Pelodiscus sinensis: one gene and its partners. The protein of the gene in region 1 purifies or fractionates together with the protein of each later gene. This does not show direct contact. Links are inferred from orthologs where the notes say so. Each region holds a gene or a part of one and is shown in the gene's direction. Other genes may lie near its edges. The genes, in order: PSMB7, PSME3IP1, PSME4 and PSMG3.

The links.
Region 2: the proteins of PSMB7 (region 1) and PSME3IP1 purify together in Homo sapiens (co-immunoprecipitation; 3 studies listed by BioGRID and IntAct, with this or other methods). This does not show direct contact. The link is inferred for Pelodiscus sinensis from reciprocal best matches to the Homo sapiens genes PSMB7 and PSME3IP1.
Region 3: the proteins of PSMB7 (region 1) and PSME4 purify together in Homo sapiens (affinity purification with mass spectrometry; 3 studies listed by BioGRID and IntAct, counting the BioPlex papers as one, with this or other methods). This does not show direct contact. The link is inferred for Pelodiscus sinensis from reciprocal best matches to the Homo sapiens genes PSMB7 and PSME4.
Region 4: the proteins of PSMB7 (region 1) and PSMG3 purify together in Homo sapiens (affinity purification with mass spectrometry; 3 studies listed by BioGRID and IntAct, counting the BioPlex papers as one, with this or other methods). This does not show direct contact. The link is inferred for Pelodiscus sinensis from reciprocal best matches to the Homo sapiens genes PSMB7 and PSMG3.

The regions. Positions count from the first base shown.
Region 1 is NC_134732.1:24,377,601-24,384,502, reverse strand, and holds the start of PSMB7 (proteasome subunit beta type-7), read left to right. Parts: upstream 1-3,892; 5' UTR 3,893-3,987; coding exon 3,988-4,049; intron 4,050-4,434; coding exon 4,435-4,528; intron 4,529-5,560; coding exon 5,561-5,658; intron 5,659-6,300; coding exon 6,301-6,441; intron 6,442-6,884; coding exon 6,885-6,902. UniProt on the Homo sapiens protein: Component of the 20S core proteasome complex involved in the proteolytic degradation of most intracellular proteins. This complex plays numerous essential roles within the cell by associating with different regulatory particles.
Region 2 is NC_134722.1:43,288,259-43,295,650, forward strand, and holds the start of PSME3IP1 (PSME3-interacting protein), read left to right. Parts: upstream 1-4,385; 5' UTR 4,386-4,539; intron 4,540-7,392. UniProt on the Homo sapiens protein: Promotes the association of the proteasome activator complex subunit PSME3 with the 20S proteasome and regulates its activity.
Region 3 is NC_134713.1:175,089,698-175,096,882, reverse strand, and holds the start of PSME4 (proteasome activator complex subunit 4), read left to right. Parts: upstream 1-4,182; 5' UTR 4,183-4,254; coding exon 4,255-4,463; intron 4,464-7,185. UniProt on the Homo sapiens protein: Associated component of the proteasome that specifically recognizes acetylated histones and promotes ATP- and ubiquitin-independent degradation of core histones during spermatogenesis and DNA damage response.
Region 4 is NC_134726.1:27,444,436-27,451,957, reverse strand, and holds the start of PSMG3 (proteasome assembly chaperone 3), read left to right. Parts: upstream 1-4,508; 5' UTR 4,509-4,640; intron 4,641-4,814; exon of another isoform or gene 4,815-4,929; intron 4,930-5,139; exon of another isoform or gene 5,140-5,273; intron 5,274-6,127; 5' UTR 6,128-6,144; coding exon 6,145-6,360; intron 6,361-7,522. UniProt on the Homo sapiens protein: Chaperone protein which promotes assembly of the 20S proteasome. May cooperate with PSMG1-PSMG2 heterodimers to orchestrate the correct assembly of proteasomes.

The DNA.
Region 1 (6,902 bases):
TACACTCTCACAAACTACTCTACTGTCTCTTCTCTTCAAAAGGCCTCTGGGGGCTATTTTGCTTGATGTATTCCAGCTGGATTAATAACCCCAGCTGGTCTTCCTCAAACCAACAGCAGTATCAAAAATTCAACAGCTGGTGATGGGTTAAAGCAGCATGAGGTGAGTAATCACAATGATAGTTAATGTCTTGGAAGTCATAAGCCTGGATTCTGCAAAGACTTGCTTAGCTTTATGCACAGAATAGTTACAATGATTTCAATTGGACTATTTGCAGTGAGTGGGCAAGTTTTTTCACAGGATCAGGGTTTAATGCTTAATGAAGTTTACTCTATTCTATGGCTGTGTCTAGACTGGCCAGTTATTCCGGAAAAACAGCTGCTTTTCTGGAAAAACTTGCCAGCTGTCTACACTGGCCGCTTGAATTTCCGCAAAAGCACTGACTTCCTACTGTAAGAAATCAGTGCTTCTTGCGGAAATACTATTCTGCTCCCGTTCAGGCAAAAGTCCCTTTTGCACAAAGCTTTTGCGCAAAAGGGCCAGTGTAGACAGCTCAGATTTGTTTTCTGCAAAAAAGGCCCGATTGGAAAAATGGCGATCGGGGCTTTTTTGCGGAAAAGCACGTCTAGATTGGCACGGACGCTTTTCTGCAAACAGTGCTTTTGCGGAAAAGCGTCCGTGCCAATCTAGACGCTCTGTTCCGAAAATGCTTTTAACGGAAAACTTTTCAGTTAAAAGCATTTCTGGAAAATCATGCCAATCTAGATGCAGCCAGTGGTTTTCATGTGTCTATGCTGTGTGCTCTCATTTTAGAGTTAGACTGTCCCTAGAAGAAGGTCCATAGCCCCCGCTGATCACGTGTTTCCCTTTACAATTTCAGCTTTCTCTTGGTTTTTCCTATATTTTTTAACATGAGTGAGGACTTTTTTAAATAGATAGACCACTTCCCCTTCTCCATATATATAGGAAGCTAGCACCATAGGGCTGGAAGGGACCTCTTGGGTCATCCAGTCCTCTGCTATTGCAGGCAAACCCCATCATATTATCTCATTCAAAAATGTATTTAATTTAGTGATGAAGACACAGTTGTTTTCCTTCCCACCCTAGAAATGGCAACTGGTGGCTGCTGAGGCCAGAAGTATAAAAGGCTGGGCTCAGAGCTCAAAGTTCTGCTGCCGAGCAGGCCAGATGCTCAGCCCAAGCTCCAGTGGAGAAAGGTCCAAAGTGAGAGGAAGGTGAGATTGTGTGAAAAATAGGATCAGATGATGATGAGCAGGAGATAGCGGAAAGAGGCAAGAAGCAGGGGGAACAAAACGTTGAAGTCTATTCAAATAAACCAGGCTAATGGTGCACATCCATGATTGGCGAGCATTGTACTGGTTTAAAATGATGTTTCTTGTTGGTACATCTCCAAAATCACCCTGCTTTCTTCCCTTTACTTCTGTTCCAGTGCTCCCTGTAAGCTGAGTGCTACCCAGGAGAGATTCAGGTGCCACCCAGCTGATTAGCAGGCATGCATTTTTATTGGTGGTGCACATCTGCACCTTGGTGCACATAACAAAATTTATTCCAGGGATGGATGGAAACAAAATTTATCCTGTACATGGATGTAAAAAATTAGAGGGAACGTTGTTTGGATCCCTCACTATCAAAGGCCTTATGTGATGGTGGCCAAACCTTTGCTCTGGGGTCTCTCTCTCACATTGAAACCTTCACCTATTTAAAGCAGAATGCACTGGTCACATAGCGTTCCAGTGAGATAACCTATGGTCTTTCACACATGATCCTGCTCACAACTCAACAGGACCAGTTTCTGTGGGAAGATTTGCAAGTTAGGTCCCAATCCTGCCAACATAGAATCATAGAATACTAGAACTAGAAGGGACCTTGAGGGGTCATCGAGTCCAGTCCCCCGCCCTCATGGTAGGACCAAGCATCATCTAGATCGGTGTTTCTTAAACTTTTTAAGACCGAGGAACACCAAACAATTTTTTTTTTTAAATGGGGAACACCAAGGATTTCTTTGTTAAGGAAAAAAAAAAAAAAGCCCCCAGGGAAAAGTTGTTGAGAAAAAAAAAAAGAGGCTTGTCCCTTTGCATTCTGTTCTCTCTGCAGCACACCTCCGACTGCCTCACAGCACACCAGTGTGCCGCAGAATGCACTTTAGGAAATGCTGGTCTAGATCATCCATGATAGATGTCTATCTAACCTGCTCTTAAATATCTCCAGTGATGGAGCTTCTACAACCTCCCTAAGCAATTTATTCCAGTGATGGATGCAGGCACTTAATTTTACTACCATAAACCAATCCCATTGATTTTAATGAGGCCACTCAGGGTAACGAAGCTAAGCACTAGCAGGGATCAGAGTGTTAGTCTGTAACATATCACACCTATCACAGGCATACATCTCAGATGACATTTCTTGGGAAAATGTCTTATCTGTTATTGGTTGTGGGTTTTTGTTTTTGGAGTTGGAATAATGCATGATCAGGGCTCGACAAACTGTGGTGAGAACTACTCACCAGCCCCGTACCATGTATGCACCAGATTGGCACTGTGCATGCGCCGGAGCGACCGGCTGAAATCTACAAACAGCGGTTTGTTGAGCCCTGCGCATGATTGATGTATTCAATGACTTTCATCTTTTCTCCCTTCTAGTTCTCTTCTCCTCTCCCACAAGTCTATAAACCCGTGGTGTGCAACACGCTAGCCATTAGCCACGTGTGGCTATTTGGCCAGTCAAGTGTGGCTAGGTGGCTTTACATTTTTTAGATTTACAGTTTCAGAATAATGTGGCTAGTTTGCCATAGCAGTAGCTGCTATACTGGCTACTGCTCCAGAACTAGTTGGACACCATGGCCATAAACGGACTGAAATTTTCTCAAATATACTTATCACTCTTGGTCTACCATGCATGGAAAAGTGTTACACTGAGACCCTTTGGCAAGCAAAATGTGGGCTGTGTTGACTGGAGGAAGCCACATGAGCTGCCACTGGCTCCTTAATGCAGAGCTGGGGAAACATTTTTGGGTCAGGGACTGCTGACCCACTAAAAAAATCAGTTGGGGGTGGCACACAAGTGAGAAGCAAAACCCACCTCATTGATGTGGACTGAGGTTCCCTACATTCCCCTCGCACTCCAGAACCTGGCGTGGAGTGGGGGGGGGGGGGGGGGCTAGCAGATTTTGTTAGGGACGTGAAGGACTAGTTGACTATCTGCTAAGCAAATACTTATTGAATACTCAACAGGCAAGGTGATTAGTCGTTTCCCTGCAGCGGGGGAGGGGGTACTTCGAAGCAGCAGTGCCATGTGGAGCCTGGGGCCAGACCATGGGCTCCCTGCAGCACTGCTGCTTTAAAATCCCGTGAAAAGCCCAGTGGGGGGTGTGGGATGGAGGGGAGCTGGGGTGGGATGTGCTGGAGAGGGTGGAGGGGAATTGGGGTGTGTGTATGTGAGGGGGTGGGGTGGAGTTAGAGGGTGGTGAGGGGTGGGGGGGTTGGGTGGTGTGTGTGGGGGGGGAGTGGGGTGGCGGTGGTGGGGGGAGTTGGAGGAGTCTGGGGGGGTTGGTGTGTGGGGGGGGAAGCTGGGGGGTCTGGGGGGAGGGAGTTGGGGGGTGTTTGGAGGAGAGTGGAGGGGTGGGGGCAGTTGGAGGAGTCTGGGGGGGTTGGTGTGGGGGGGGGAAGCTGCGGGGTCTGGGGGGAGGGAGTTGGGGGTGTTTGGAGGGGTGGGGGGGAGTTGGGGGGGTCTTAGGCTGCCCACCCCGGCTTAGGCCCAAGTAACACCCGGGAGGGGGAGGGGGAGGGGCGGCCCATCTCTCCCGCGCGCCGGACACGCGCCCGGGGACCCGCCCCCAGCTGCGCGAGGGGGCGGGGCCGCCTCAGGCCCGGGGAGGGCGGTGACCCGGAAGCGCCGCGGGTGACCCGGAAGCGGCGGCCCGCGCTCGCTGAGTCACGCGGCGCCCCGGCAGCACCACCCGGCGGCAAGATGGCGGCGGTGTCGGTGCTGCAGGCTCCGAGCGGCGGCTTCGGCTTCGGCAACTGCGCGCGGTGAGGGCCGGGCCGGGCCGGGCCGGGCCCCGTGACTCGGGGGAGGCGGCTGGGGGAGCTCGGCCTGCGGAGCCTGGCACAGCCCGGGGGGGTCAGCCTAGGGCGGGGGGGGGGCAGGTGCGTGTGTGTGTGAGGGAGGGGGGTTGCTGGGGGGCGGGGCCAGGCGTGGGGGGGGTTGAGGGGTTACTAGGGCGGGGCCCAGGTGTGTGTGTGAGGGGGAGGGGGGTTGCTGGGGGTCTGCAGGGGGGAGGGGCCAGCTGTGTCGGGGGAAGGAGAGTGGCTGGGGGGGCGGGCAGTTCAGCCGTAGGCGGGAGGGGATGACAGCCTGGCTTGTGGGGATGCTCTATCTGCCTCATTCTCCCTTTTGGTCCTCTGGTGGTTCCAGGAATGCACTCCTGGATGTAGAGTTTGCCAAGAAAGGTTTTCGGCTCCCTGCAGCCCGGAAGACTGGCACCACAATTGCTGGCGTTGTGTTCAAGGTGAGGCAAAAAAAGGATGATATATAGCATCGTCCGCTTTCGTGACCTGTTGACTGTTCCTTCAGGTGGCAAGAGACATTGTAGCAATGCATACCATATGAAACCTAGGTGGAGAATAACATGAAGTCTTATCTACAGGAGGTCCCTGACTTGCGCTGTGATCGGTTCCAGGGAAGCATCGCAAGTCGGGGGTGTCATAACTCGAACTCTCAATTACAATAGGTGCCGTGCGCCTGTCGTAAATGCGGGCCAAGAATGTAAGTCGGGGGGTTCAGGCCCCTTCCGTACTTACAAAATTGGTTGTAAGTGCAGGGAGTCAGAACTCAGGCGGTCGCATCTCGGGGGGCCTCCTGTATTCAGTTAAGGTCTACTATCCAGACAGTCATCACTTGAAAGTTCCAGAAATGGCCTCCTCAGCTAACATTGCTTGCTGGGCGCGGCATCTTGTCCACTGCCGACTTTGTCATCTCTCTTCACTCAAAAGTAGGGATGTAAAATCCCTTTTAATCAGTTAACCGGTTAAACACTATGTTTAACCAGTTAACTGCTAAAATGGGGGTGGACGTTGGGGCTGGAGCGGCCTTAGGCTGGAGTTCACTCCTCCCTCCATCCCCTGCAGTATGGTGCATCAGTCCTAGCTGGAAGGGCAAGTCCCCGCCTGCATTGGGTAGGTGGCTGCTCCAGCCTGGTGGAGCTGCCAGGTGATGTTTACTAGTTAACCATTCACACATTCCTACTCAAAAACTCTGTTTAGTACACTTGCTCTTTCCTGTTACATTGCTGTATATTTGGTGTTATGGGAACTTGTGTTTAAAAAAAGAAAAGACTCCATCATCATCAATTACAAATTCTTCTACAGCCTAGTCTTTACCATTTTCTCTCTGTGAGGGTACATTATTGTTGTAAGAATTGTAGGCAGTGACAGTGGTTACTGTTATTGAATGAGACAGACTACTCTAAATGAGCAATAAAATAATGCATTTTTTCTAGATCTTGACAAATTTTTGATTAAGTATCTCTTCTTTTCTGTAGGATGGCATAGTCCTTGGAGCAGATACAAGAGCAACTGAGGGGATGGTTGTTGCTGACAAGAACTGTTCAAAAATACACTTCATTTCTCCCAATATCTAGTACGTATTAAAACTGCCAGTGTTACAGAAAGTAAAGTTTAATTTTAGTGTTGATTCTTGTAAACTATGCACCTTATTGCTAATGCCACACAATGAGAACTTTGAAATGGTAGTTAATTTCACCAGTATTGTAGTTTGGTTTTTCTGGTGGTCATTCATGCCAGACAATAAAAATAGGCAAATTTGCATCACAGTTAGTATCCTGTCAGTTTCATTTTTCCTCCTATGCCAGCATAAGGCTGTAATGATTGGGTTGAAATAACTCCAAGAGTGTATCTAAGTAGGAAGCAGTGACACGTCACTCTACAGTTGCTAGTGAAGGACCTTTTTGTGCAGATGCCTGTTAACTCTGAATGCATGTGAGCCGTCTTTGTATACTACAAGGGACAGGAAACTATAACTCTTATTGGATTTGATTAAATCAAAGCAAATTGAGGAGATGATAATAATCTGGCACATTAAATAATTTTAATTTTCCCTGTCTGAATAGCCAGTTTCTACCTTTGTAGTGGCATGGCCTTTTTACACTTCATGGAAGTTTAAAGCCAGTTCTACTTCTAGTGACCAAAAGAACAGGGACGTTAATTAAAAACAAAGGTTTAAGAGTTTTTAACTTGGTAACTTGCCAAAAATGTTTTCCAGTTGTTGTGGTGCTGGGACAGCTGCAGATACTGATATGACAACTCAGCTGATCTCTTCCAATCTTGAGCTCCATTCCTTGTCTACTGGACGGCTTCCGAGAGTTGTCACAGCTAATAGAATGCTCAAACAGATGCTTTTCAGGTAACTCTATGCGTTCACTTTTATGTTAAACACAGACACTGGGTATAACTGGGAAATACGCTCTTTTAAGTTAAATGTTAGTTTACCCTGAAGGAGACTGTGTTCATTATCAGGATTTTATAAACTATTCCCTGGTTCACCTGACCTTAAGGGAATGGGATAGAAATGAATATCTAAATTGTTAGTATATAAAGTAAAAATAACTGTGTGGCTTCAAAACAAAGGGCAGATCAAATAAGGTGGCTGTATTTAATATTGGCTAATGGTTAAGACTGGCATGTTTTTGAAAGATGCACATTTAGATTATTACGCATGGAGAAACAACCTGTTATAATAATGAAAAAATACTTTAGTTTTCAGAATGCATGTATTATGTTAGAGTGAAACACAGTTTATCCTTTTATTCTGAATGCCTGTATTCATGTTTGCACATTGTCCATCAGGTACCAGGGTTACATTGG
Region 2 (7,392 bases), on another chromosome or scaffold:
ATGCAATCAGCCCTACTGCACTGCCACGGCAGCCCCCAGTCCCGCTGCTGGGGCTCTCAGCTTCACCACAGCAAACCACTGCCCTGCCAACGGTGCTTCTGGCACCATCAACCTTGCCATGGCAGCACCGGCCACGCCAACCCCAGTACCACCGCCAGGACCTACCCCACAGCAGCAGACTGCTGCTCAGCCTCCAAGGTTTCCTACCCTGCCAGCCCTACAAGGGCAGCACAAGCTCTTGCTAGCCCTGCTGTGGCAGCCCCCTGGTCCAGCCGGTGGGGCTTCTGGCCCCACCACAGCAGACTGCTGCCCTGACGGAGCCCACTCGCATTCCGGCCACCCTACCACTGGTTTAGCCGGACTCCTGCAGCAGAGCTCCCAGCCCCTGGCTTCCCTGCAGCCAGGTTCCCAACCTCCGCAGAGCTCCTGCCTCTGGTCCTCCACCAAGTCTCTTTGGTTCAACATCATCTGCGGTCAGACTAGACCACAGATGTTGCTGGACCAGGAAGTCCCAGTCGAGAGAGGTTCAGCCTGTTGTAGTAAGGGTAGCAGTTCCATACCCTGTCCTGCAAATTCCTGTATGGGTCAGAACTCCTACAATTACAACCCTGTAAACTTTCAAATTTAAATAGCTATATTCACGAAATGTATTATATTAAAAATCCTATGACCATGAAATTGACTAAAATGGACCGTGAATTTGGTATGACTCTACTAATAGCTGCTAATATTCTGCTAGCCTTTTTAAACACTGCAGTCCTCTGAGCAGAGGTTTCCATAGAATTAGCCAAGATGACCCCAAGATCTCTTTTGTGGATGGTAACAGCAAATTTAGGACACATTTAGTACCTGTGTAGTTGGTATTTCTTCCAGTGTGCATTACTTTGTACACTGAATTTTATTAACCATTTTCTTGTCCAGTCACCCAGTTCTGTGAAATCCTTCTGTAACTCCTCATTGTACCTTGAATAATTCTGTATTGTTTGCCACCTTGGCCCCTTCACAATTCACTCTGTTTCACAGATCAAGAGAACCTTGAGGGACTCTGCTGTTCACCTCTGTCACCGTTGTTAAAAAAAAAAAGTCTTAACATCATACTTTGTTTTTTTCCTGGAGAACTTCTTGGAGATCTCAGGTCTTCTTGTTCATCTCATGAGCTCTTTCTCTCAACATTTAAGCAGCTGTGGTGGCACCATCAAAGATGTAACCAAGATATTAATTCTCCCAAGTGTTTTAGACAATGGAGTTAAAACAGAGGTTTGAACTGAGATTAACACCTAAGAGTCTCTCCTCCCCTCCTTCTTTTATAAGTCATTAGAGATTTAGAGAAAAAAAAAACAAAAAAAAATATTTCTAGCCCTCTCCATAAAACACAAAGCAGTGGGGTAAAAAAGTGCACACTTAATTTCTGATTGCCTTCTGTGACGGGAGTCAGAGAAGGTCAGAGAAGGCAGGAGGGAGACGGGGAGTGGAGCAGAGCGTGGGCGCAGAGGACATGAAAGGAGAAGCGGAGGTAGGAAGCAGCCCAGGATGGGGCTCCTTAGTGTCTCCGCTCTGGGCTGCTTCCAACCTCCGCTTCTCCTTTCACATCCTCTGCCCCCACGCTCTGCTCTCTGCTCCACTCCCCGTCTCCCTCCTGTCTTCTCTGACCTCCTCTGACTCCCGTCCCCCTCCTCTCTCCTCCGCTCTCACCCTTCACTCCTCTGCCCACCACTCTCTTCTAGCTCTCCCCTCTGTTCTCTCCTCTTCTTCTGTTACTCTCCTCCGCCTCTTCTCCCCTCTGCCTTCCCTTTGAATGCAGCGCTCTCTTGCGCCGGTGCCTCTCCCCCTGATGTCAGGGATGTACGCACACTCTGGCCCCGCCCTACACTCACATGTGGCCCCACCCCCGCTTCCATCCCAGGACTCGGCACCCCTGCATGCTGCTCAGCTGGGCGGCCGCATGGGAGCAAGTGGCACAGACCGCTGTCAGAACGCTGCGCTGCCCGTGCAGCGGGGTGGGTCGGCACCGCTGAAGTGCAGGGCGGGTCGCTCTCACCGCCGTGGGGCAGCTCCGCCCCGTCACAGCTTGCTAGCTGCCAAAATCTACCTGCCATGGGCGAGCAGATTTGTCAAGCCCTGGTTATAGAATACATATAAATTGAAATTTGGCCCATAATCTAACCTTTGTTTAAAGAACAAACAAAAAATCCCCTCAAACCTGGATTGAAATGTTTCCATAATTAATAAAAACTGAAGAGATCCTCTGTAAAATCTACAATTACTGTAGAGTAGTAGTAGCATGGTAATAGAAAATATTATACTGACTAGTTCGTTATATTTCTTGTAGTTTGGAAAAATTATAGAAAATGAAATGCATAGGGTTGCAATGAGTTCTCTGGTATGTATAATATGACAGAACATTTGATTTAATCCATGATTCCTTCTGGGAGCCAGATAAACGCAGAAGGATTTCAAAGCTTGTACTTTTTTATTTTTCAAGTAGGCCTTCAGTTCTCCAAAGCACTGCAGAGCATGTGTTTAAGTTTAAGCACTCTTTAGTGTGCACAAGGTTTATTATGGCTTAGAGTGCCTTGCAGAAACAGGGTCTTGATATTAATATACTACTAAAAAACAAAAAAGTCCTTTTGTGTTTAATAGCCTGTGTGTACACATAAAAATAATTTTAGCCAAGCAAACTGTTCTACTGAAAGCACCAGGACTACTTGTATGAGTAAAGATTATTAATGGGAGTAAGGATACAGCCCAATATATTCGTGGCTCCTGCTCATTTTCGCTCACACAGGCGAACTCTCTGACTTAAATTCTACCTGAGAGAGGACAGCAAAACCTGCCCTCAATAATGGAGATCCAGATAGGCCAAAAGGTCACAACTGCACGTATAATATAGAGACCTTTTGGCCTATCCGGAACTCCATTACCTTAAAGTTAGTCCACTTTCCGTTCTACTTCAGAGCATTCTTTTACAAATACAGGCAGTCCCCGGGTTACGTACAAGATAGGGACTGTAGGTTTGTTCTTAAGTTGAATTTGTATGTAAGTCGGAACTGGTACATATTGTAGGGGAAACTCTAGCCAAACATTTCTCCAGAGCTCAGTTTTATTCTCCCATACCTCACTTCCCTCAGTCCTTTATTCTCAAGCTGAGGTGTCTGCTGAGAAAAGCCGCTCCACGTCTCCCAAGTCTGCTGGGGGGGAGGGGTGCTAGCTTCACGTCTCCCTGGTCTGCTGGGGGAAAGCAGCTAGTGCAGGGTTTTCTCACCCCGTTTGTAAGTAGGGATCCGATGTAAGTCGGATCCATGTAACCCGGGGACTGCCTGTACTGCCAAGTATCCATCTATAACAGGACCAGAAATCCAGAACACAGGAACCCTTGCCCGTTAGATACAGCCATACCAAAGATCATTTGAAATTATGGGAGTCTAGAAGGGGTGCCCGCAAACTAGAGGACGTCTAACTTGTATGCAACAATCCATCTACCCTTATTTCCATTGTTAGAAATAAAGTAACGGCGCGTAATAAGGCGGTGGCACAGCCTACGCGTTTACAACCGCCACTTAGAGCAAATGCAAATCAGGGATGCCCGCGACTCATCTCGGATCTCTCTCTCTCACGCCCGCAGCATGCCCCGCCAACCAGCCAGCGGCAGGCAAAACGGGGACTAAACGGCCACCAAGGCAAGCAAGCCCCGCCCCCCGCCCCCCCTGCCCGGGCGGGGAACCAGCCTCCAATCGCCCCAGTTCCACAGCAGCAGGTAACGGGACAGAGCCGTGAGCCCCCGAGCCCGCAGCTCCGGCCCACACAGCGGTCCCCGCCCCCAGAGCGCCCGCCGGGGAACCGGGGCAAGCCCACCCCACAGCCACCCGCCTGCCCAGAGCCTCCGGGCCAGACCCACTCACCCGCCTCCCTCCGGTCCCCTCGCGGATCCGCCCAGGGAGCCTCCCTCCCTCAGCCCGGGAGCGCCCCGCCCGCACCGCTGAGGGGTCCCCGCGGCTCGCAGCCCCTCTCCCCTCAGCATCCGCGCGCGGGGCGGGGGCTTCCGGCCCCGACCGGCTCCCCCCTCTTCGCGGTACCTACCGGGGCGGGGCCGCGCGCGTGCCCCGCTCAGGCCGGCGGCCGGGCAGCGCTGCCCCTTTGTGCCATCCAGGCGCGGGGTGGGAAGATGGAGGCGCCAGCCCGACCATTCCGCGCCCCACCCCCGCCCCGTCTCCCGGGCGACTCGCCCAGCCCCTTCCCCCCGCACCAACCAATCCGCCTGCGGGCGCCGAGCACGTGACGCTGCATCCAATCGGGCCGCCCGTCACGGAGCTCGGCCAATGGTCGCTGTGTTGTGGGGACGGCCGAGGGAGTTGAGAGCCGCCGTTGGCTAGTAGTGGCCCTGTGAGCGGAAGAAGGCAAATGATTGGCTGGCTGGGGCGGAGAGGGGCGTGGCTCCGAGGAGGCCGAGGCCCCGCGGGGTCAATGGTGGCTGCTGAGTGGGGAGCGGTGCGCCCGTCGCCGTAGAGGCCCTGCTCTGCGGAGCGCCCGGCCGGCCGGAAGGTGGGTGGGGTCCCGCCGCGGGAGCGGGCTGGGGGCAGACGCTGCGGGGGTCTGGCTTCGGGGGATAAGGCCGGGCTGCTGTAAAAGGGGGGACTAGGGGGAGGCGGGTGGCTGTGGGGGGGGGAGGGGCGTGGGGGTAGGATTGGGGAGGCGGGTGGCTGTGGGGGGGAGGGGCGTGGGGGTAGGATTGGGGAGGCGGGTGGCTGTGGGGGGGAGGGGCGTGGGGGTAGGATTGGGGAGGCGGGTGGCTGTGGGGGGGAGGGGTGTGGGGGTAGCTTTGGGGAGGCGGGTGGCTGTGGGGGGGAGGGGCGTGGGGGTAGCTTTGGGGAGGCGGGTGGCTGTGGGGGGGAGGGGCGTGGGGGTAGCTTTGGGGAGGCGGGTGGCTGTGGGGGGGAGGGGCGTGGGGGTAGGATTGGGGAGGCGGGTGGCTGTGGGGGGAGGGGCGTGGGGGTAGGATTGGGGAGGCGGGTGGCTGTGTGGGGGAGGAGCGTGGGGGTAGGATTGGGGAGGCGGGTGGCTGTGGGGGGGAGGGCTGTGGGGGTAGGATTAGGGGGAGCCTGGGTGGCTGGGGGGGGTTGGATTATGGGGAGATGGTGTCTGTGTGGGGTAGGGTTGTGGGGGTTGGATTAGGAGGACACTGTGGCTGTGTGCAGTAAGGTTGTGACAGTGGGATTAGGGGGAGGCCAAGTGGCTGTGTGGAGTGGGGTTGTGGGGTTTGGATTATGGGGAGATGGTGCCTGTGTGGGGTAGGATTGTGGGGAGGCTGGGTGGCTGTGTGGGGTAGGATTGTGGAGGTAGGATTAGGGGGAAGCTGGCTGCCTGTTGAGTGGTGTTACAGGCAAGGGGTGGTGAGAATAAGGTTACTGATTTTTGTTTGGTGATGTGTGTTGAATCTGGTGCCATTCTGCCTTGGAATCCAGCTCCCTTTGGAATAATTGGCAGGTGAGTTGGGTAAAGGTGATACAGTGTACAGTATGGCTAGGCAAGAACAACTGCCTCTTGGTGTTGATTACAAGCTTCTTCTGTATAAGATCTTCCTCTGGACTCTTTGATGTTTAAACTAGCATTGTTGGGATGCAGCATTAATAGCACTTCAAGATGAGTAGACTAGTTCACAGCTTCAGGCTTGGACAAACATCTCTTTGTTAGTCTGCCCCTCTATCACTTTGTTACACTGTAGGATACTTTGAAGATTTTCAATGAGGATGACAGTTATTTGTTTGTGTTACATTAGCAGCTATAAGTTGTTGATTATGAACTTATTGAACTAAATAGTAGATGCATGTATAGTGAAAACAGTCTCTACTCCATAGAGCTAGCGATGGAAGTAAAGATGAGGGCTATAAGATTTATTTTTTTTAATGAAGGTATTCATTTTGTGGCATCTGATATCAGCCCACATTGGGGGGGGGGGGGGGGGAAGTAATAGTTCATCAAGCCAATAAGAGCTGCCCCAATTGAAGTTCTGTAAAAACATCTGCCTTTCTTCCTCAAGTTGCTTGATGATGGCAGCAGCCTGTTTCAGGTGTTGTTTGTAGACTGGCACCCATTAGACTGTGTATTTGGTCCTTTGTCTCCTCACAAGACCACAGTTTCCAGTGTTTATGTGTAAGAGTCTAGTGAGCTGAGAGCTCTTTCTACCTGCTTACAAAAGCAGAGCATGCTTGGAGGTATGGTGGTTGAATGCTTGTAGGAACTCAACCACTGGCAGTTTGGATATCAATAGTTGGAAGCTGATTAAGTTCTTTGGGGGCATTAGTAAAGTGCCAGGACAGCAACTCCAGAATATCCTCTGCCTCTTGTAGATATTTGGAAAAACTAGAGAGAGAAATGGATGTGGTTCTTGTAGGTTTCAGTGCTACCCAAAGGGTTCTGAAAGGCAATAGCAATACTTATTGAAGAATAAAGGAAAAACTTAAAAAACAACAAATACTCTAGTAGCACTCTAAAGACTAACAAAACATGTAGATGGTATCATGAGCTTTCGTGGGCACAACCTACTTCTTTAGATGACCGGAGTGTTGGAAGTCCAGATTCAAGAATAAATAAGGGAAGGGGGGAGGGGGGGGGAGAAAAAAATACAGTGCGTAGATAAGTTTCAGAGTGATAGTCTGTAACAGGAAAAACTTCAACAACTAGTCTAATAGCATCTGAAAAACTAAATAGTTACAAGAGGCTGATAAGAACCATTAGTTTGCACTTGGAAAGGAAGATGACCAACAGGAGATTATACACAGACATAAATAACCATTAGCACCTTCATTGTTTGGTTGGTTGATAATGTGTGAGCCATCCAATATCCCATTCAAACTAGTAGCATAAGAATTAAATTTGTGAATGAAGTTAAGGTCCAGTCCTTCTCTGTGTATTTGGCTTGTGGAATTGGTCTGAAACAAAACAGCAACTTGGAGATCCATTAATGAGCGTCCAGGAAGATTAAAGTATTCTCCAACAAGTTTTTATGTGTTGCCTTTGCGGATATCTGATTTATGTCCATTAATTCTTTCCTGTAGAGACTGTCCAGTTTGGCCGATATACATTGTAGTGGGGCATTGGGCTACCCCTCTGAAGTTATCAGTCATTTTACTTTTGAACTTGGGAAAAGGTCTGCGAAACTTCAGAGATCCTTAGGCTGTCCACTTTATTAGGGAAGATAACACTTCGCATGGGAGAGTGCAAAGGGTGCCAATGTACCACCCTCCCATGGTCCTCCAAGCTGGCCCAGCTGAGCCACGTGACAGCTCCTGGACCCTCCTCAGCCGAGCTGAGCTGCACAGTGGCTCCCGCCCAGATGAGCTGAGCGCCTGCTCTATTCCCCTTCCCCTCACAGCCCAGCTGAGCTTCACTCTGGCT
Region 3 (7,185 bases), on another chromosome or scaffold:
ATTTTCATATTTACCTTATTCTAGAAAGGGAGATTGAACACTGGACAACACTTTTCTGAAGAGAAAACTGGTTGCTTCAGATTGAGATCACAGTTATGTTTTAGGCTTATGGACAAATTTCCTAAATACAAGGTATTGACAATGCTGGTGTTAGTTAATCTAAGACAGCAAGCCATTCTGCAAAGGAATGTACGAACAGTGGATAATGTGATATAAGCCAATGGTAAAATGTGAGATTTCTCATGAATGGAGAGACTGCATTTCCTTCACAGCTAAAACACTTACTTGGATTCATCATTATTCTCAAGATTTAAAGACAAAGATGACAGGTGGCACTGTATTTAATGTGTTCTCAATTGATATTCCTCCTACTTAATAAAAGCTGTTGATGCAAGCAGTGCAGATGAATCCTCAGCTCAGAATCATATGACTCAGGAACCAAATGTGATTTTATGTGCCAAGAGCAGCCAAGACATACTACAAACCTGAAGCACGGATTTATTTTTGACTCTGTAAAACATTTCTGTAGACTGCATTGTCTTGGTTTTTTTTAAACAGTTTAGTGTCAGCACACTAGAGGTACATCTATACTGCACCCTAATCTCAGGATAAGCTATTCATTTTGAGCTATGCAAATTGCTTAGCTTATTTTGAAATTTGGTGCCATCTACACAGTGCCAAATTTTTAAATAGAGCGCTATTCTGAAACGTTCCTTAATCTGCACGGAACGAGGTTTGCAGTGACGTCAGAATAGCATGCCCGTTATATTTCGAAATAACAGGTTTGCTCAAAAGATGTGGAATAGCTACTTTGGGATATTTCTGGTATCTCGAAATAGCTCCGCAGTGTAGACGTAGCCTAGGGGAAAAATGGTTAAAATTATTTCCTTTTTGGAAAGGAGGTAAATACCAAACAATTACAACAAATGTATTTAAAATGGATAGACCATGCAAAACAGTCTGTCTGATCAATACTATTATTGAAAATATAATACTGAATTATTGTTTTCTAAAACTGCTTGTTTAGCTATTTCAGGTTTTCTGAAAAATATTGATCATAGTTGTGATTGCCAAGAAGGCACTTTTGGGGCTAGCAATGTTTTATATGTTGTGGTACAATAGATAAAGTAATGTTTAATTCTGGTTTCAAAGCTAGCTATGTAGAGTAATATTGCTGATTTGAAGTAACAAAATACAATTTTGAAATTAACTTGAAAACACCTGCCAATAACAAAAATGTAGTCAAAATTATAGTCCAATTACAATCAAAATTGTAAGCAATTAAGCAGGAGCTTTAGGGTACGTCTACACAGCAGCGTTATTTTGTAGTCTGCACTACAAGCAATTATTTTGAAATAATGTCCAGCTGGAGGGCTCCTTACTTCTGACTCATGGTAATCCTCATTTCACAAGTAAAGGAAGTAGAAGGAAGAGTGTTCTTCCTTTGACTTCCTGCTGTGTAGATAGTACCAAAAGCCGAATTAAGCTATTTCGACTTTAGCTACGCAATTGACGTAGCTGAATTTGCGTATTTTAATTTGACTTTAGCCCTGCTGTGTAGACGTGCCCTTAGTAAGCTAGATACATCCTTTTCTAGATCCCTCCCGGGCTCGACAGTCCATTTTCTCTATTGACAACAGAAATGGGACTTTCTTCTCCTACTCTAGCTCGAACTCCCAGCCCAAACTCCCTAAGCAAGTGTGAATGTGAACTCCTTCAGCGGTCCATACTATCCTGTTCAGGCTACCTTCTTTTGGATCAATTATTTCACAAAGCCTCCTAATTTCCTTTGTATTAGGACTTTTTCAACTATCCTTGTATCAGGGCTGCAAGGATCAACTCCAGCTCTCTCTCTCCCCCTGCACGCCCTTAGTACCCTTTCACCAAGAGATCTCAGCTGGAACCACTCAGGAATCCTTACTTTAGGAAGATCTCTTCCAGGTCTTTACTAGGTCAGTGCATCCCAAATAAACTATTTTAAAATTAGGGGGTGTTTTTTTATTATCCTTCCAACTTAGGAGGCTTCCTCTTATAAGAAACACACCCCAATCCTTGTGACACATGATTAGTAGTTACCGGACACAAGCACCTGCCCAAATCCATCACTCGAGCGAAGTTAGACTAAGCCCAACTACCCTTGAAGGGACCAAGTTACTCTGGGTGCATCTACACTGCATTGTAGGTTGAAATAAAATACACAATTTGAGCTACACAAATTGCATATTTTATTTTGAAATAGCTTATTTCAATATTTGGCACCGTCTATACAGCACTTATTTCAAAATAAATCACTATTCTGAAATGTCCTTTACTCCTCATGGAATGAGGTTTACAGCGATGTCAGAATAGTGAGCCCATTATATTTCGAAATAATGGGTGCGCTCAAAAGAAGCAGAACAGCTATTTTGGGATATCTTGGGTATCCCAAAATAGTGCTGCAGTGTAGATGTAGCCTCTGTGACAACACTTACCACAGCAGATCAGTATGTGTAATCCAATTCATTTTATACTAGCCTCATCCAATGCCAGACTTGCTTTTTACTTTTTCTTAATTAAAAAACCCCAACAAAGTTATTTAATTCTCTTTTTGTTTAGAGGGATTTAATCAAAGCCTGAATCTGCAACCTTCTGTGAATCATTACCACACAAACTATTAGTCAGGACTTTTGCACTGTCAGTGAACAGCATTCTGGAAGTAGTGTTTAACGCTTATGAAAGAATGTGCCCTGAGGACACTCTGGCTGAGATAGTCAAAGATGCCTAAAAGATTTGGTTGCCTAATTCCTATTACAATTCATACTTTCTAGGAAATACCAATATTTAATTCTCTTTTAAATCCCAATAATTTCACAGATATTGCAGGACAAATGTGATTTTGGCTCTCACAGCAGGGTAAATTTGCTAAACTTCATTTTGGAAATCCATTAAACCACAAAAAGTGTATTTTGAACATCAGAGGGTGTTATAGGCACTTGGCATTTCTGAAAGTCTTATTCAGAAATGCCAAGTGCCTGTGGGGATGGTTCTCTTTTTCCCCACAATTTCCTTGAGCTCATGGAAACCTTTTGAAATGCTCCACAAGTATTGCTTCAGAGGGAGAACATGTAGAACATATGCCTAGAGGGCCATGAAACTGTAATTGTTGATCAAAGTGCTATGTTGTAAACATGAGGTAAAAATGCACTCAAAACAGGATAACCGGTGTGTACACATAACACCATTGTTTCTTACACTGGTTAAATCCCACCATCAATTCTCTGCTGCACTCACATTTTAGTTGTCTAGTTTGATTGCACCTCGGGGACAACTTCACAGTTTTATTCTGTCTCTTTCTCTCCCCCTCTACTTCTCCATATACACACACTATAGACTGTGAATGGATCATGCAGTCCTACAGTGCTGGTGTTGATTTCTTCAATAGCAAGATTATCCTCAAATTAGAGTAGTTTATATTTAGTTGTGTCTGTAAACTGGTTGGAATTAAACTCTCTTAAAATATACTTTGTGTGATCATTCACAGTCAAAATTCCACCCCCTTGTTCCCTTCAGCTGAGGTAAAATCAGCACAGTTTGTAATTAGGAAAACTATCTTTTGCCTCACTTACCAGAGAGATGAGGGTACCAGGTTTATGGTGTCATTAAGACCACAGTCGGGGGATGCCACAGACGCAAGGGTGTATATTCCTCTCCCACACTCTCTATCAAGGGCTGTCAGAGTAGGACAATTTGATGAAGATTTTTTTAAGTGAAAGTGTCTCATTGAAATGTCGGGCAAAATCCTTATTACAGAGAGACTCTAAATACTGCCAGAATGAACCCAAACCTGACAGAGCTGTAGGGCAGGTCAGTGCCTCAGCCCCGCCTCTCGTATCTCGCTCCAGCTCAGTCCCCGCCACACTCCGCCTCGACACCGGCCTCCCCCTCCCGAGCTCCTTTCAGCTCTTCCCACCTCTTTCCTCAAAGCCTCCCTCGGCTCCCACAGCGCCCGCCCCTCTCCGAGCCTCACTGCCTGCTGCCACCCCCCGCGCTCCCCAGAGAGCCTCTCCCACTCAGCCCCCCCTTCTCTGCCTCCCCCTTTCCGCTCCCCCCGCCCCCGCGCAGGAAGTGACCTGGCCCGAGCGGGAGGCGGCTGTTCGCTCGGTGGTTGGTTGCTTCGTCACCAGGAGCCGCTGTGTGACTCGTTAGGACGGAGCCGGGCGCGGAGGGTGGTGGCAGCGGCAGCGGCAGCGGCAGCGGCGGACGGTGCCGGCGGCCATGGCCGAGGCTGGGAGCGGGCCTCCGGGGGAGGCGCCGGGCTTCGTGCCGCAGAAGGAGATCGCCTACAACAAGTTGCTGCCCTACGCGGACCGGCTGGAGGCCGAGGCCAGCCGCCTGCTGGCCCAGATCAAAGGCAACCTGGGCCGCGCCGTGCAGCTGCAGGAGCTGTGGCCTGGGGGGCTCTTCTGGACCAGGAAACTCTCCACGTGAGTCCTGCGGCCTGGCCGAGGCAGCGTCTCCCTGCGGGGCGCAAGGGCGAGCGGGGCTGGGCCGGGCCGGGCCGCTCGGCCAAAGGGCTGGGTGGTGGGTGAGGCTGTATGTGAACATGCCCCCCCCGAGTGCGTGTGTGTGTGTGTGTGTGTGTACACACCCGCCCTCGGCCCCCCGAGTGCGTGTGGGCGCGAGTGGGTACACACTCGCTGTCAGTCCCCGCGCGAGGGTATCAATGTGTGTTTATGCTTGACTGCGTACACACATGCTGTTGGTCTTCTCCCTCCCCGTGTGTGTGTGTGTGTCTATCCCTACTGTCAGCACCCCAGATTGTGAGTGTGTGATAGTGTCTGTATGCACCCTGCCATTAGTGCCCCTGTACTAACCTCCACCCATCTATGTCTGGTACTCTGCTGTGGACATGCCGACATGTATGCCTGCCATTGGTACCTCTTGGGCATGTGTGTATATGTGCCATTAGTACTCTTGGTGTGTTATTTTGTACTGAAACATGGCATTAGTCCTCCAAGCATGCACATTCCTATACATGCCATTAGTGTGTCATCCCCACTTCTTTGGTTTGTTGATGTGTGTACACATGCCATCAGTATCCTGTGTGTGCGTGTTTATATGTTCACATGCCAATGTTGCATGTGGATACATGTGCCATTGGCACTCCCAGGGTATTTGTGGGCATGCATACCCATCTGTCCTCAGTATCCTGCCCCCCCCCCCCCCACTGTGTGTGTACACACCCACCTTTGGTATCCTTTTGCTGCAAGGAGCATATACACTAGGGATGTTAACATGCAGTTATTTAGGTAAACTTTCAGGCTGTGTCCCCTCTGATATAGTGGCAGCAGCACGTTGGGGGGAGGGGAGGCTGATTATAGCCATTTACACTTTCACATCCCTAGTACACACTTAACCTTGGTATCTCTGCCCTCCCTGAGAATTCATGTAGGCATATGTGTGTATACCTGCCCTGGTATCACTTTTGCCTTTAGGGTCTGTGTGTGCCTGAGTGCACACCCGCCTTTAGTACTCTCCCTGTGGTTATGTTCACCCAAACTTCTTATGCCTTCTTGAATGGTATACTTATATGTGTGTGTGTGTGTGTGTTTTTGTGTGCATGCCAGGTTGCTTTCTATAACTTGCTCCCTAGTGTGTGTTTGCCAGTTGTCCTTTGTATCTGGCTCCCATATGTGTGACCCCAACTGGTGTGGGTGTCTTTTAGACTATATCCCTTTCTTTTCCCAGAGTTTTTGCCTAACATTAATGCTGGGAAAGTATTGGGGGCCAAGGTGTCTAAAGGCTGTGAAGGGTGTGTGTGTCAGTGAAAGCAGCGCAAGCTGTGAGTGGAGGCTCTCTCCTTTAGCATTTGACAGTAGAGAGGCCCCCAACTCCCACACTGTGAGTCTGTCCTGTGTGCATTAAACTCAAGCACTCATTCCTCTCTGCCCTCAACAGCCAGAGGGACCTTTGTCTGGGGCTATTTATAATGGTGACACCAGCAGGAACTGGGACTGAAGCCAGGTTTTAGATTGTTGCAGGTTAAATCCTCTTTTTAAAGTATCCAGAACTGATGTTGGTGCCTTTGGGAGGTGCTGCTCTTGTTTGGGAGAAGCTGGGGAGCTTCTGCTTCTATTTCCACAACTTGTGCAATCTTCACTGTAGGCTCATATTGCAATAAAGACTAGACTTCTATTTCCAGGCTGCCTAGTTCTGTTAGTCTCTGGCCAGGACTACACTAGCAGAGAAAAAAGTTGCAAGATACACAACTCCAGCCATATGAATTGTGTAGTTGGAGTCAGTGTACCTTGCATTGATTTTTCTGAGGCAACCCCACAGTTGAAAGTTGGTGGGAGAAATTCTCTAATTGATTTCCCTCATTCTTCCGAATAGTGAAGAGTACCAAAGATGATGGGGGCTCCTTCAGCATTCAGTTTAAATTTTAGAGGATCTTGAATAGACCTGCTAAATTGAACCCTAGAGGATTGATTTCCAGAGCATCGCTCCTCTGGCAAATGGAGGCGTGGCCTTTGTGAACAGTAATGGGCAAACTAGGCTATGAGTGGGCCGCATGAGTGGCATTTCTTCATCTCAGTGAGTTGCACAATTCTTGTAATCAAGACTGTCTCCCAGGACAGGTTAATTTTATTAACTGCAGCTGTGCTTGCGTACCTAAAATTTGTGGCTGTACCTGTTGAACTCTAGCAGCACTTTGACTGGATGCAGAGGGAGCACATGGCTCTCATAGTCAGTGTTGTGTGCAATCAGCATTCACTCGCTTAACATGCATTTCACTTTAGTAATACTGTTAAATAAAAAAATTACATGGACAGATACCAGCAAAATCTGGCAAACCTGTGCATGGGCAATGGTAAACAAAAGGTCTAGTGGGCCATGCATAGAAAGCAAAGGGCCATCCATAGAACCCATGTGGCTCGCAGGCTGCCCATCACTGCTTTGGAAGGAGGGTATTATTGCCTTTAAAGAAGATAGATACTCACTAAGCCACTTAACTTGTTTTGCCAGAAATTGTACATGACTGCTCCATCTCTCCTGGAAATAAGTTTGTAGTTGTCATTGCTGCCGAGGGTAGCACGCAGATTTTTGTTCAGTGGTTTCTTCTGATGTGTTGCATGTAGATGTGTACTTTGTGGGGAGTGGACTTAGGTAGGGCAGTAGTTCTGCTTTCCAAAGAGAGGTTATATT
Region 4 (7,522 bases), on another chromosome or scaffold:
CTTGGTGCATGTTTTCATGTCTCCCTGGAGTGGCTGGCTCATATGAAGTATAAGAACCCTTGTTATTGACAGATATTTTGGATAAATGACAGGAGATTATGGGGTTTTGGTGCTTAAGATGCAGGTTCAAACATCTGCTGGTGTCTGCCTGTATGTTACACTCGGAGACGGTCCATAGACCCATGACAGGGTGGAATTAGCATTTGATTCAAAGGATAAAAGTCTCCTACTTCCTAAAGTCATATTTGTCACTCAGATGAAGGTAGGAGTGGTTTCCCTATGGCCTGAGATCAAATGGAGCCTTCTGTGCTCCAGTCATGTACAAAGGGAACGGGAGGTTAGCAGGGATACAGCAATAGGATGCCTTTCTTTTCATAAGATGGAATTCTCCGCAAAGGTAGATATAGTGGAAATTCAACAGGAAGACTTATTGACAGCAGCTGCCACTATCTCAGTCACACAGGCAACCCCTTGAATGCTTGTAGTAAGCAGGAGAGAAATATTGGTTCTTCACAGGGAGGGAAAACGGGATTTGCCAGATGACAAGAAGGGGTGATGATAAGGTATCAAGTCTCCCAGTTCTGTCTTGTTCAGAGATTTTCCATGGAACTCTGTTGCCCTCTGGAGGTTTATTAATGCACTCGCAGCACTATGACTAGCAGTTAACTTCATTTAAAGTCAGTTAAACTTTTCATGCAAAAACAATTCAGAACACTAAGTCTTTACAAATGTTTGGACAGGTGATCCAAAATTCAGAATCTTTGTTGTCAAGGGTGGTTTGTGTGGTAGAAGGGTAAGATGTGAGGGGGAAATTGAAATAAAGGTTTGGGAGACACTTAGCATTATATAATTTAGTATTACACTGGATATTCTTTAAGAAATCATATTTTTAGGGATGTATCTAGGCCAAAAATATTACTCTGGGATGAGCAAAGGTCAAGAATTTTGGAAAAACAAAAACAAACTAAAGTTTTTAAGATGGTTATTACAGATGTATTAACTTTTTAATATTTCTTTTCTTTTCTTTTCTTTTCTTTTCTTTTCTTTTCTTTTCTTTTCTTTTCTTTTCTTTTCTTTTCTTTTCTTTTCTTTTCTTTTCTTTTCTTTTCTTTTCTCAACATCAAGGCTACATCTACACTGGCAGCTTCTTCCGGATGAACAGCCATTCTTCCACAAAAACTTGATGGCTGTCTACACTGCACGAGTGTTCTTCCAGAAGTAAATTTACAGTATAGCGTTGTAAAACAGGGCTTCTTCTGGAAGAGTTATTCCTCTCCCCACGAGGAATAAGCCCTCTTGCGCAAGAGCTCGTCCAGAAGAGGGCAATGTAGACAGGCAACATGAATTTCTTGTGCAAGAAGCCCCTATGGTTAAAATGGACATCAGAGCTTTCTTGCGGAAGAGAGCGTCTACACTGGCATGGATGCTCTTGCGCAAAAGCACATCTCTTGCGCAAAAGCACATGCCAGTGCAGACGCTCTCTTCTGGAAGAGTTTTTGCACAAGAACTCTTCCGCAAAAGAGTTTTTCCGGAAGAAGCTGCCAGTGTAGACGTAGCCCGAATGAATGGCTGTCTTCTGTCATGAAATCTGTGTGTGGTAGCTGTCAATCAATAAAAACACTCCCATTCTTACATAGTGCTTTTCATCAGTAGATCTCAAAGCCCTTTACAAAAATTAAATCGTATATCCCCATTTTGCAGATGAAGAAACCAAGGTACAAAGTGTTGAAGTAAGTTGCCCAAGGTCATCTATCAGGCCTAAAAAAAGACCCAGTCCAGTGCTGTATCCTTTAGCAAAATGCAGGACAATGTAGCACTTTAAAGACTAACAAGATGGTTTATTAGATGATGAGCTTTCATGGGCCAGACCCACTTCCTCAGATCAAATAGTGGAAGAAAATAGTCACAACCATATATACCAAAGGATACAATTAAAAAAATGAACACACATGAAAAGGACAAATCACATTTCAGAACAGGAGGGGGATGCGGGGGGGGGGGGGGAGGAAGGAAGGTAAGTGTCTGTGAATTGATGATATTAGAAGTGGGGAGAGGGGATGTTTGTGAGCTAATGGTATTAGAGGTGATAATTGGGGAAGCTATCTTGGTAATGGGTAAGGTAGTTTGAGTGTTTGTTCATTCCTTCTCGGAGAGTGTCGAATTTTAACATGAATGACAGTTCAGAGGATTCCCTTTCAAGTGCAGATGTAAAAGGTCTTTGTAGCAGAATGCAGGTGGTTAAGTCATTGAGAGAGTGTCCTTTCTGGTTAAAATAGCAAGAAACTGTTTTTTCTTTGTGATCTTGTATCCTTTAGGATATTCTGCCACTCTGTACAAGCTACTTTACAGTTTTGATTGAAACATGAATTAGGGCACATGAAGAAAAATGTGGGACTACTGAAAAGGATGTAACTGTTTGCATTATAGGTTCATACACTGACCCTTAAGTACTATGATATTACAAATAAATTACAATAATATTAGCCATGCTGTCCACCATAACAAACGAAAAGGCAAGATTTATCCAATTTGCAGCCTGATCCTTCACTCTGCCCAGCATCATATATATCAAAATATTCCCGAAGAGTTTAATGGCCAAAAGAAAGTCCCCACCATCCAGCATGATCTCAATGACTCATTCAAGTCTACAGGAAACAGTCAAGGATGAAAACACTATGGAGCATGCATCTTACAACCAAAATTCCCTTCCACTCAAATGTGACAAGCCAGGTTTTGAGTTCTCTCTTGTTTGCCAATTTTAATCATACCTTTAAAATTTTAGGTGCCTTTAAAATTTGAGAGAAAAGCCTGGGATGCTCAGAACCCTATGTGGAAACAGGAAATCCAGCCATTGCCAAATTGCTCTGCTCTGCTTTGAGGCTAAGATTCACCTTATCCCAACCTCCATCTCTCCACAAAGACCTTCACATTCTGGTCACAGATGGGAAGCTGTGATTCTTTGGAGACAGAGGATGAGTCTTCTGCAGCATGAACTTTGCTCTAGCTGGTGAATAGATGGAAAAAACACAAGAGAACAATTAAAGAATTTAAATCATGCAGAAGATGGCACAAAAGGAAGTCAAGGCCATTTCAGAATGCCCTTGGAGTTTATACAGCCAATACTTTAGAGATGTTTAAATGACTAGGAACATCAGCATTTCAAGAGTTGGGTCAGGGCAACTATGCCAGTTTGCCAGGCTAGAAAGCAGGCTCTGACAGTTCCTATCACACTTCTAGGCTATGTCTACACTCGCGGCTTCTTGCGCAAGAAGTCGCCAGTGTAGACAAAGCCTTAGAGGGAATGCTTTCAATACTAAAAACTGAAAAGGCGCTATGCCTATTTTGCAGAGGGATTGAGTCTGTTGACTTAATAGAGACCTCTTCCTTCTCACCACCCTCTCTCATACGGATTGGGCAAGAGCCAGAGATGGGTCTGTCAGGTTTGCGAGGGTTCCTCCCATTTGCTGAATACGGAGAGGTCTACCATGCTGTGTTGGTTTTGGGGGAGCAAGGAAGGAGCTGACTGGAAAGGGGCTGACCTAGTTCAGTGTATGTGTGGTAGGGATGTGAGGGTATGTTTACACTACCCCGCTAATTCGAACTAGCGGGGTACTGTAGGCATACCACAATTGCAAATGAAGCCCGGGAATTTCAAATCCCGGGCTTCATTTGCAATTGCGGTATGACTACATTACCCCGCTAGTTCGAATTAGTGGGGTAGTGTAGACATACCCTAAGAGTTTAACTGGTTAACCAATAAGGTGATGCTTATCTGTTCCTGTTAACAGTTAAACTCTGCTAGGGAGCATAGGGCTGACAGCCCATGAGGCTGGCAGCCAGTAGTGCTGAGGGCCAGCAAAGGTGAATCCATGGGGCTGGAAGTCCTCAAGACCAGTGGGGCAGGGAGCCCATGGGGCCAGTCGCCGAAGACTATGGAGTCAGAAGCCTGTGGAGCCAGCAGCCAGGAGCCTTCCAGCACCCTTCCTTCCCTACATCCCCAGGTAAAATGTTTAACTGTACAATCAATAGAATTTTGATTGGTTACATGGTTACTATGTTTTTATATCCCTAGTGTGTGGAGGGTTGTAGTGGTATGAAGTGTGTTGAGTTTGAAAGGGGCATTTCCCACTCAGTGAGGCCAGGGAGAATGGGGTAAGCTGGATATAGGGGGAACTTCCCCAGTGTGTGATTCTGAGGGAACCTGGAGGGTATGCGGAGTGCAGGGGTCTCCCATTCTATGGGGATAGCAGGCGTGTGGGAAGTAGGGTGTGGAGGGGAATTTCCTTCTCTGCAAGGTTGGGAGAGATAAATGTGGGAGACAGGGTGAGCTGGGTGCATGGAGATCTTCCCCACTCTGTGGGGCCAGAGAGGAATGATACCGGAAGGAACAGGGTGCAGGGCTAGGATCCCCACAGGGTAGGGCCAGGCCTGGAGGGGGGGCATCCCATGCTCATTGTGGCCAGGATGCAGGAGGGACTGGACAGGATACTGGGAGCTCCCTGCTCAGAAGGGCCCAGATGCAGGAGGAGTTCCCCGCTTGGTGGGGCTAGAGCCGTGCAGGGGTGGACACCCAGCGTGGTAACGCCAGCGGGGGGGCGCCTTGCCTGGAGAGGCTTGGGAAAAGGGGGCATCTCTACTAGGTGAGGCCAGGAGGTTGTGGGGATACGGTGGGAACAGAAGGGGGGGCGGGCTTCCCCGTGGGGCCCGCGGACGTGCAGGGAGAACTCCCCGCTCTGAGGGTGCAGAGGAGGCTCCCGGCTCAGTGGAGCCTGAGGGGTGCAGGGACGGAGGCGGGGGCGCCGGGTTTCCCCTGGGCCCGGAGGGAGCGCGGGGGGCGGGGACGCCCATGCGGGGCGGGCTCAGTGACTCGGCGGCGGCGCAGAGCGGACGCGGCGGGCAGGAGCGCGGAGGACGCGGCGGCATTGCCGGGTGAGGCCGGGCGGACAGGCCCTGCTCTCGCTCGCCCCCTTCTCCCGGGCTGGTCTCGCCTACCTGCCGGCCGCGCTATAGCGCCCGGCTTCCTGGGCCCGGCTCCCGCTGCCGGCGAGCCCCTGCGGGCGGGGGGCTGCAGCGGGGTGGGCTCGTGGCGTGACTCTGAGCCTGCCCGTGCCCTGCTGCGTGGGTTTATGGGGGGGGGGGGGGGATCCGAGGGCTGCCAACTTTGCCGACCGGGCACCTTTTGCAGCAATGGCGTCCGGTCCGTTCGGTCGGGAAAGTTGGCAACCGAAAGCCGGGCCTAATCTGAAGTTGGGATCTTGTTTGCTCCCCTGACGGTAAGGCCGTGGCCAACTGGGGGCGTGCAATGAGTGTGAGGGGCGCTAAGTGATCCACCAAAGTCCTCCCCCTGGATTTAGTTTGTAGGGGAAGATACAAATATTGGGTTACAAAATGGGAATCGCTGACTTGGGAATGCCAGATGCCAACTCAGGGGTGCCCTTAAGTACAAGACAGATGGTTCTACTAGCCCCGTTTTATCCCAATCCTCGACATTTGGGCTGGGAAGTTGGGCAAAATGGTTCTGGATTTGGGTCCTCTGGAGCAAAACCATGCTCTAGTGCAGTGTTTCCCAAATGGTGTTCCGCGGAAGTGAAAATATGGGTTCCGCGAGAAAATTCCATTACAATAACTACTCAGCACTGTGTGCCAGACAGTCAGTGGTGCAGTTGCCTGTTATATATCACGTAAGGGGTTCTGCAAAATTCTTTCGAGTTTAAAAGGGTTCCGTGGCCAAATAACATTGGGAAACACCGCTCTAGTGGGATCCAGGAGACCTGGCCTTTGGGCGTCAGGATGCAGGACTGGTAGGACTGTATAATCTGTTGCATGTGACACAATAACAGTTTCAAGCAGTGTGAAACTATGAATGGCATAAAAGCCTGTAAATAGCAACATGTGTGTGTAGCCTAAGTTACTAAAGAGGGTAATGTCAATTCACTTCTGAGTCAGATACACTCAGACATCACATGTTCATGATTATTTATATACAGCTGCACCAGTTGCTTACATCTATGGGCATATTTATGCCATTAAAACAACACTGATATTTTAAATTTAATTAAAATATTGAGCCTTTTTATGACTCTTAGTTAATGTTTTATATCTAATACTAGTATATTATTTTACTCAGCATTTAAGACGTCTGCCATGGCAGCAAAATCTATTGTGACTTCAAAGCAGAAGGAGGAGGTGGTGAGGGGTATCCTAACAGAGGTGGTATGCACGGCCTTCTCCAACTCCATTCTTGTGGTGGTGACGCAGTATGGGAAGATGGGGACGCTTGTCTCTGTGGACCCCAGCACAGTAGCCAGTGATATCAGCAAACCGTCACTCACCACGAAAGTGCTGCTGGGCACGGATGAGGTATGTGGCCCTGAATATTGAGGGGGAATCTCTCACTGGCTCAGAATTTGAGCCTGCTTGGGCTGCCAAGCAGCTGATGTGCAGTTGTGCAGTGGTAAGATTAAAAAATCCTGTACTAAGAGGGGTGTAGTTCATCAGTACATTTTGGGTATTCATGTTAAAGGTATGTTTAACATAACAAATGTCTAATTAAATCTACACTGAAAGCGTATAAGGGTTCTGTCACTTCATACTCGGTTATTTTTATGGAGCTTTGCCATTCCCATTGACTTCAGTGGTGCTGGAACAAACATAATGGCCTTCACTATCCTTTCTCCAGTGCTTGTCACAGTATTTTTCCCCCATCCGAGCACTTTTTCTCCCCACTTTTACCTCTTCCAAAATCAACTTTGGTACCCCTTCCCTCAACTGTGCTTACCACCAGTTTCCTTAGATAAGACAGTTATCCAATTCATTTTAATTTAAAATGAGTTCTCAATTACTATTTTTCAGAAACAAGAGAAAACAATAATAAATTTTGGATCAGATAGGCACTAAATACAAAGTTACAGTATACTGCAAGTTTACCTAGTTTTACAGTGCTGTAGTAGAACTATCTAGTGTTGCTTGCTAATCCCAAACAGAAAAAAAACCAAACTCAGCAATGTGACAGGTTGCTCATCCTCTTAGCAGCTGGTCTTTGTGTAGCCCTCACCCTTCAATAATAAGCTCTCTTTCCTTCATGTGGGATGTGTCTGCCTGTAGACAGGATGGTTACAGCGTTGGTGTGATGTGCGCTTGTCAACATGGAACAGAAAAGCATATTCAGTTTCTGATACTTATGTTAATCAGTGGCACTTCCTGTTTACATATGGGAGAAATTATTTCCCCAGATCTTGCGTAGGTGTCCATTGTCTGCTTCTTTGTATTATATGTTAATTAATGTAAACAACCTTGAGGAAATACTTCCAGCCCAGCCTTTTTTGGTGATGCATGCTGCCAAAAACCGCAAATCAGTTCTGAAACAAACTCAAACAAAAATAAACTTTAGATCAATATATGTGGCAAGATGGATGTGCCAAAAGGCATATTTTTAGAGAAGCCCTAATTAAAAGGGGTTATATCCCTTCTTTCCTGCTAATGCTTCACTTTTTAAAAAAATTACATTAGTCTATAAAATCAC